Danio rerio: one gene and its partner. Each later gene encodes a partner of the first gene's protein in a complex. Links are inferred from orthologs where the notes say so. Each region holds a gene or a part of one and is shown in the gene's direction. Other genes may lie near its edges. The genes, in order: nup205 and nup107.

Region 1 (4,090 bases):
TCTTTCTTCAAAAAACTTTTTTATGCAATTAGGAAGTAGTTTATTCCTAGCTTTAAACATAAATTGTGCTGTTTTAGATTTAACCAAATAATTGAACTTAAGTATTTATGATTTTGATTTAATTTAAAAAATAAATTATTTGTATGCTCCAAATACCAAATAATACTGATATCTGATTGGAAATTAATTCATCATTATGTCATAACCCTCGCTTACTTTTTAGGTAGATACTTGTGTTATCTTTGGAAAGTACCATTGCGTTTTTTTTCTGGTTCCATTGGCCAGGAAATTAGTATTTAAAATAGTATGTCTTGAAGCTGAAATACTTACGATAAAGGGCAAAACAATCTATGCGTCTAGTAAGAAAATAAAAAAAGTAAAGTAAAATTGATATCCCATGGTTTTATTATAGTAAAAGTTCAGTATGTTTTTGCCTCGCAAAATTGACTGAGAGTCTCATTTGAAGTTCTGTAAAAGAGATATTGTGTTTATTATTATTCCTGATTTCGATCTTTGTTGGTGGGTTTGTAGGACAGTACCACCCTCTGGTGCTAGAAAAATGGGATATTAATAATTTTCAGGCAGTATGTGAGGCATCAGTCGCTCAATTTCACTTAATGTCAACTATTTCGCTTGGTGGCTCAAAAACGGGTCCGTCCATTGAGTCGTGTGAAGTTCTAAGGGCGTTTTTTTGTCTAATCAAAGATACACGCTGGCTAATAATATAACCTTTTGTTTGTAATGCTTACCCAAACCGACATTCGTTAAACAAATGCAAATTTTAAAGCAATTTTCCTTATGAACGTATTTATTGAAATGGCAAGGCGCTGTAATCACAGATGACTATGATTTGTATGATCTTAAATACGGTGAGAAATATAACATGCACCACGTGACAATGCTGCCTACGTTGAGCAAATGATTTATGTGTAAATAGCTGTCAGGACGATCAATTTATTTGAGAAAACTATCTATACAAATAAAACATAAAACATTATTCACCCTGAATATGTAAAATTAGTAGCAACTTTCGTAGTGTCAGTATCCGCTTGCTATTGTAGCAAAGAACCAACCTGCATGCTGATTCTACCAACTTCTATTTCTATAGGTCCTACGCTCATGTGGTATTTATGGCAAAAACACAACAAACCAATGTTGTCAAAAATAAAAATAAACAAATAAATAAGCAATAAGGCAATAAATAAGAGCATACGAATGTAAATAAATAAAATCTCTTCACAAAAGAAACCGAAAGTTATGTTTTCACACCGGCAGAATTCAGGGCAGCCCACTCACGCTTCAGACATGGCGACGCAGATGGCGGTAAATTCAGGTATTAATGTATACATTTCGTATTCTTACATATTTAATGTTTTATACGATATATAACATTGACTTTTGTGTTAGCACGTTAAACCAAAGTATTTTAATACATTTAAAGTACAAGTACTTCGTCAGCCATTCACTTTATCGCTACCTTCACCAGAAAATAGGCTTAGAGTGTGTAACTAAATGCGCAACTAACGTTACATTGCTTACTATTATCTGGGCTCTTCTTAAACGAGGTATTATTAAAGTAAAAGTCTTTGTAAAACTTGTTCTTTTGTGCGACCAGAATAAATAAGTTGACGTTATTTAAAACATCAATGTCTCCTAACATCAATGTCTGTTAAATTGCCTCGTGAATATGCCCTTTACGTCTAATAAAAATGATACATGGACAAGATAAGTCTAGGTTTAAGTCTAAAGATACTTTAATGTCTATATACGAGTTATGTTTATACTGTTGTTTAGTGGTTTACATATTATTGAGGTCAAGTTGATTTTATATGCGCACATATTCGTTCAGTGGCAACTTGTGACATGCTTCCTATATTGTTTTTAACGTGGTTACTTTGAATATTGGGTCTGAAATCACATGTAGGTTTGACTTTAAACAACATTAACACTATTTATTTGACTGTGAAATGTGGTGTACTTTGATAGTCAATGACTGCTAATATGATTTCATGTTTATAATCTGCAAAAAATACTTTCTCGAAACTATATTATTGAGGAGAAATCTGAATGTGTGAATATACCTTTAACTTTACCTCAATTTAAATATTTTGTCTTCCATTTTACATTTTTCATGTATTTGTTTCCTTGTTTTGTACCTTAGGAATGTTGTTAATGATTGTCAGTGAAATGAAAGTTAATGTCTGTGTTTTATAATGTGTCTTTGTTTACCTTCTGCAATTCTACTGTGTAAGTTCTACCTATAAGTCGAGGCAACTGGTTGCTCTGCTTTTGAGATACTTATAACATTTAGTTTTTTGTTTTGTCTTTAAAAAAGCACATTTGACAGCTTGAGTTTTTTTTTTTTTTTTTTTTTACCTTTATAGGTCATGATAGTTTGTGAAATTGACAAAAGTACTAGCCTGAAGTAGGGCTGTGCGATTTGGGGAAAATATCTAATTGCGATTTGTATTTTTTTATTTCTGACAGATATTGCGATTTCAATTTGATATGCAATTCAATTTTGTAGTCAAACTTCAGCTTAATAAACTGTATTGTAGCTTCTGTGTTAATTAAAATGAAGAACTAAAAAAAATAATAGCAATAGTAATAGCAAACAACCTGAAATTGTACTTTGCTAGCTACTAGATTAAGTGTCACAGCCAATACTTTTAGTTGATTTTTTTTAGCAAGACACTCCTCATATAGCGGCCTGTGGTGCATTTTTAGGTGCTGGTTGCTGTATGTCCTCATGCTGTGGGAACAATTCTTTGACAGCTCTTACAAATTGCCTGTTTGTGTTCGGTGTCTGTGACTTTGAAACCAAAATATTCCCATATAACAGACCTGCTGTTTTTCTTTGATATAAATTCATCTATTAATGCTTTTGAAGCGGCAGATGTCATCATCCCACTCGTTTGCGCTTTCCTTTTTTTTTTCTTTTTTATTGTGGGCTTTTACATACTTTCAGTTGAGCAATTCTGATTGGCCAGAATGAAAGTGTGCTCACTCAGTAAGACTGTCTAGTAAGACTGTCACACACAGACGGCAGTCACACATTTGCTCTGGGTGGAGGAAATTAAATAATATATTTCATATAGCAGCCTCTTGTGATTGCAATTCGATTTCGATTAATTGCACAGCCCTAGCCTAAAGTATGAAAAACACTAGTCTGCACTCTGCAGACACTTAAGAAACAGGAGGGTTGAAGTAGTCTGAAACAAAAACTGTAAAACTCAAATCGCAACAAAATGACAAAAATAATCAGTTGAAAACAGAAAAATTCAAACTATTATATATTATATCATACGTATGCTTAATCATACGTCACACTGACAGGAGGAAAAATGTGAAAAAGCAACTTTTTCAGTCACTAATATAGAGAAATGCATATGAAGAGTTTAGATGCAAAAACCTCTAAAAGCCATCTGATGTTTTCTTCTAAAACTAGCATTTTTCTCCGACTCGTGTGTTGGCTCATTCATTCATTCATTTTCTTGTCGGCTTAGTCCCTTTATTAATCCGGGGTCGCCACAGCGGAATGAACCGCCAACTTATACAGCAAGTTTTTACTCAGCAGATGCCCTTCCAGCCGCAACCCATCTCTGGGAAACATTCACACACACACTCATACACTACAGACAATTTAGCCTACCCAATTCACCTGTACCACATGTCTTTGGACTGTGGGGGAAAGCGGAGCACCCGGAGGAAACCCACGCGAAGGCAGGGAGAACATGCAAACTCCACACAGAAACGCCAACTGAGCCGAGGTTCGAACCAGCGACCTTCTTGCTGTGAGGCGACAGCACTACCTATGTGTTGGCTCAGTAATTTTACATTTATAGTGATGGATAAGTTCTTTTAATCGCCTTTCAAGTGAAATAACTGAACATAAACATTGGAGGTTAAGAAAATGTTTCTTTCATTTAGAGGTTTTTGCATCTGAACTCCTTATATATATATTGTAAAGAGATTGTGGTTCTGTTTGCAGGAGCCAGTCTGTGGGGGCCGCTGAAGGAGCTCTGGGAGGCTGTGGAAGGGGCCATTTGGAGACGTCAACCAGAAAGTGTTCATCTTTTAGATCTGCAGT
Region 2 (4,048 bases), on another chromosome or scaffold:
GTCATTCGTTTGTGCCTGGTTTGTGCCGTTAAGCAAACACTTTATCTATTTTCATTGTTTACATATAACCAAAATATATTTATATTTATATTCGTGCATGAATTGATTATTTTCGTTTCCTCACAATTTGTGCTCGTTTGTACTGCAAAAAAATATTATTTGTAGGCCTAAAAATAATACTAGATCATCCAGAGGTGTCTCGACTCTAGTTGCTCCATATTTACCAAAATAGTCTCGTTTGTGTGTGTTTTATTTGTACTGGATTGTACCTATGAATGTGTCGTTAGTGCTGCTTCTATTAGTAAAATATTGAATTAAAGACAATGACATCACCAGCCACCCCACATGTATGATATTCTAAAATATTTTAATTTGTTTGTGCTGATATAATTTTTGTTTGTGGTGCTTTATTTTTAGATATTAAAATAGTCTAGGCCAATATAAGTTATTCTGAAATCTTTTTTTATCAGAAAAAGCACCTTTGCTGATTTGTCATTTGAGCAATACGGGGTGGAAAGTGATGTCACACGGTCAAAAAAATAATGCTTAATATTTTTGCGGCACAATTCAGCACAAACGAATGGCATAGTTTTGGTGATTATTTGTTTTTATGGGGTGATAACTTCACAGATGTAAAGTTTTCAATTTTTGATTGGTAATGTCATGTAAAGAGGGAAATTGGTGTTTATTTTCTGATCCTTCACAAATGTTTTGTTGACAGAGAGTTCTGGACGCAACCAAGGAGCACTACCATGTGATTCAGAAGTTTGTGATTCTTGGAGATCTTGATGGTATGTTTCAGAAAATTTTTATTTTGAGACTCTTTTTTTTATTTATTATTTAACAAAGAAATAACATCCTCTTAATTTATCTAAAGGTCTTCTTGAGGAGTTCAGTGATTGGTTGGGAAGAAATACACCTTTGCCAGCCCATCTCTTACGCTTCATGTCACATTTAGTGTTGTTTTATCGCAGTTTGGGCATGCAGCTTAAGGTACATACAAACGCATATATATTTTTAAAAACCATGTCTTATTAATTACCACTGAGTGAGTAAAATGTTCACGTTTGTTTTAAACTCATCAGGAGGAGGTGTGTGTAGATGTCCTGAAGGCCTACATCTCGCTGTTGGTGAAGGAAAAGCAGGTGGAGCTCATTGCGTTTTACGTCAGTCACCTTCCTGCAGATTTGGCTGTGTCACAATATGCTCAGTTCCTGGAGGAAGTCACTGAGACTGAGCAGCGCAAACACTGTCTGGAGCTCGCAACACAAGCAGGCAGGTTTATTTTGCACTAAAGAGTCCTCTTGCATTACATACTTAATACACCAATGGTTATAATGTCACCAATTTTTTTGTGGTATTTAGGTTTGGAAGTGGCAGCAATCACAAAAACGGTAGTGGAAACCATCAGAGAGAGAGACACAGATGAATTTTCCCACCATGACCTGACGCCTGCACTGGACACGGCAACTACAGTGGTACTAATGATGAACTCTTCATTTATGAAAACTTGTTTACCACAGGTTTGATGGAAAAATATTAGTTTACTTTTTTATTTAAAATTTCACATTAATCCATACGATTTTGGATTTTAAAATAAGATTTTGGAGATGTAAACATGTTTAATGTTAAATTGTAGTTTTGTGTTTTTTTAAAATTGCAACATTAAACATGTTTACATCTCCGCAGATATTATACTACAAAATCAATATAAATACAGTGGTAAAATATAAATATTTTATTTTTCCATCCTTGCAGTCTTTCTTGAATTTTCTTCTCCTTCTATTATAGCTCCTTCCATTATAACTTGTTAACTAATTAGCCTCTATTAACTGATAAATGACTACTGAAAGAATGTAATACTCCTACAACTAAAAAGCTTTATGTACATGCTTTACTGGCATGATATTTAGTACAGTATTGCCAAAGCATTTTAGATATGTATAAAATAAGTAAGTTATTCACATTATCAAATTAATAACATACAACAAATTTGAAATAAATGACAGGAAAAATGAATAAAAACAGACATATCTCTAAAATGGATATTTATTAATGATTAGAAAAGAAAGTTTAGATTTTATTAAATAGGGTAAATTAGTTTATTGACCATTTCTAATGGTGTACATATATTTTACAGGCAGTTTAAATGTCATTTTATTCTCTTTGAGCATATAGTAATATATATAAATTTTTATCGTTTAAAGAATCTGTTATTTACTTTTTCTTTCTGTCTCGCCGCAGTGCACGCTGTCAGCTGCGAAGCCAAACGGAAAGTAGTCTTTATTAAAAGAATAATACAAAAATGCAACAACTTAAGAAAGCGAAAGTAAAAGTTGACTCCTGGATATTATAGGAGATTTACAAACACTGGCTGGAGTCGCCAGATGCAATTTTAAACCTCAAATAGGCATCTCTCTGTTGGTCTCTGCAGAGCATGTGAGACTGTGTTGTTGACAGTTTTCTCGCGCACACACAATAAGCAGTATGAAATGTGTTGGGTGAGAGAAGATTTTCCACTAGTTAATCAAACAGATTAATGGATGCGAAAAAAGTGTAAAAGGATGATAATATTATTTAAAAAAAAATAAAAAACGGTCCTCCAATATACTTGGACGGCCGTTAATATACCTAGGCAGTAGTAAAGTCGCCCAAGTAAAATCTATGTGTGGAAAGCACTGGATTTATTGATGTTAGTTAAGTAAAATTAGCTTACAAAAAAAAACTAATAAACTCATTATGTATAGCTCATTTATTAGTTAAGGTTAGCCATTGCAGTAGGTGTTGCTATTCAACTTTTCCTCTCTGTACAGGAGGATCAGCAGAAGATTGATGTGATTGACTGGTTGGTGTTTGATCCTGCTCAACGAGCTGAAGCACTTAAACAGAGCAACGCCATCATGAGGAAGTTCTTAGGTGAGACTTTCCTAGCCAGAATAGTATATCAAAATCTATTAATGTTGTAATTGGTCATTTTATATATCATCAACTGCCTCCTCTTTAAAAATTAGTTACAGTCTCACACACAATTTCACTGAAACACTGATAAGTTGTACAAGCTCATTTGTAGGTTGTGTAAAAAATGGCTAATGGTAGCACTAAATAAACTAGACTTTCACAAACATTATAAAAATGTATTTCAGATCCTCTCACTTTGTAACAAATCCATATTAATCCTTTAAAGAATTTTAGCATTTACATTTCTCTACTTTTATCCAGAGTACCTTGCAAATGAGAATCAATAGAAGCCATTTGTAAACAGACCAGTTTGTAAGTTTAAGTCTGCTGTAAACAGCAGATATAAACAAATTTAAAGGAAAACTAAAATAGAGAAATAGAAATCTTCATTGATTCGCATGCATACATCACACATTGAATGTTTGTTTCTTTTTAACACACAGCAGATAGATTAGATCAGTTCTTTGATTTGCAGTGTTGTTCTATTATACTCATGTACAATACAGCATCTAAGAAGCATGACGCTGCTAAGATGGTCTTCGCCAAAGTGCCCGAAGACTCCATGCGTGAGATCTACCGGCAGTGGGAGGAGCAGGGTATGGACACACCACTTCCTGCAGAAGAGGAGAATGCCATTCGTGAACATCTATGCATTCGTGCTTATCTGGTGAGTAGTGCTGTTGTACAATGAATTGACCTAAAGTCAAATCAAGGAACTTTTCTGCTGTACAATGTCTGCAGCAGACGCAGCGATATTTTGCAACACCTAAAAATAGTTACCTGCTACGTAAATGGATGACATCAATGTGTAATATCAGTGCGCCTGCATCAGCCATGATATGGCAGGAAAGTTTCTTGATTATTACGCTAGAATGAGAGTATGCTTCATAACCTTATCAACCTAAAACGTAGCAATTTTTAATCCCTGTCCGTCTTTGTACATGATGCAACTACAGAAGTGTCAAGCTTTAAATGGGAAAATTATTAAAACTTTTTTTATTTTAAATTTTGAGCAAAATGCTAATGGCCTAATCTGCCTCAGTGATTTATGCTAAGCTAAGCTAAAGGGCTCCTGTGAGACCCGGAGATT

Evidence for each region.
Region 2: the proteins of nup205 (region 1) and nup107 are in contact, whole or in part, in a cryo-EM structure (PDB 7WB4), measured with the Xenopus laevis proteins. The link is inferred for Danio rerio from reciprocal best matches to the Homo sapiens genes NUP205 and NUP107. Residues at the interface, in XP_041443600.1 of Xenopus laevis: Gly1247, Gln1248, Arg1249, Pro1250, Ser1458, Arg1506, Gln1507, Leu1983, His1991, Gln1995; in NP_001091312.1 of Xenopus laevis: Gln134, Glu136, Pro189, Tyr282, Tyr283, Gln770, Ser772, Phe773, Thr774.

Annotation. Positions count from the first base shown.
Region 1 is NC_133193.1:13,627,642-13,631,731, reverse strand, and holds the start of nup205 (nuclear pore complex protein Nup205), read left to right. Parts: upstream 1-1,290; 5' UTR 1,291-1,305; coding exon 1,306-1,333; intron 1,334-3,991; coding exon 3,992-4,090. UniProt on the Homo sapiens protein: Plays a role in the nuclear pore complex (NPC) assembly and/or maintenance. May anchor NUP62 and other nucleoporins, but not NUP153 and TPR, to the NPC.
Region 2 is NC_133179.1:23,336,152-23,340,199, reverse strand, and holds part of nup107 (nuclear pore complex protein Nup107), read left to right. Parts: intron 1-721; coding exon 722-791; intron 792-877; coding exon 878-993; intron 994-1,085; coding exon 1,086-1,275; intron 1,276-1,365; coding exon 1,366-1,478; intron 1,479-2,813; coding exon 2,814-2,916; intron 2,917-3,464; coding exon 3,465-3,625; intron 3,626-4,048. UniProt on the Homo sapiens protein: Plays a role in the nuclear pore complex (NPC) assembly and/or maintenance. Required for the assembly of peripheral proteins into the NPC. May anchor NUP62 to the NPC. Involved in nephrogenesis.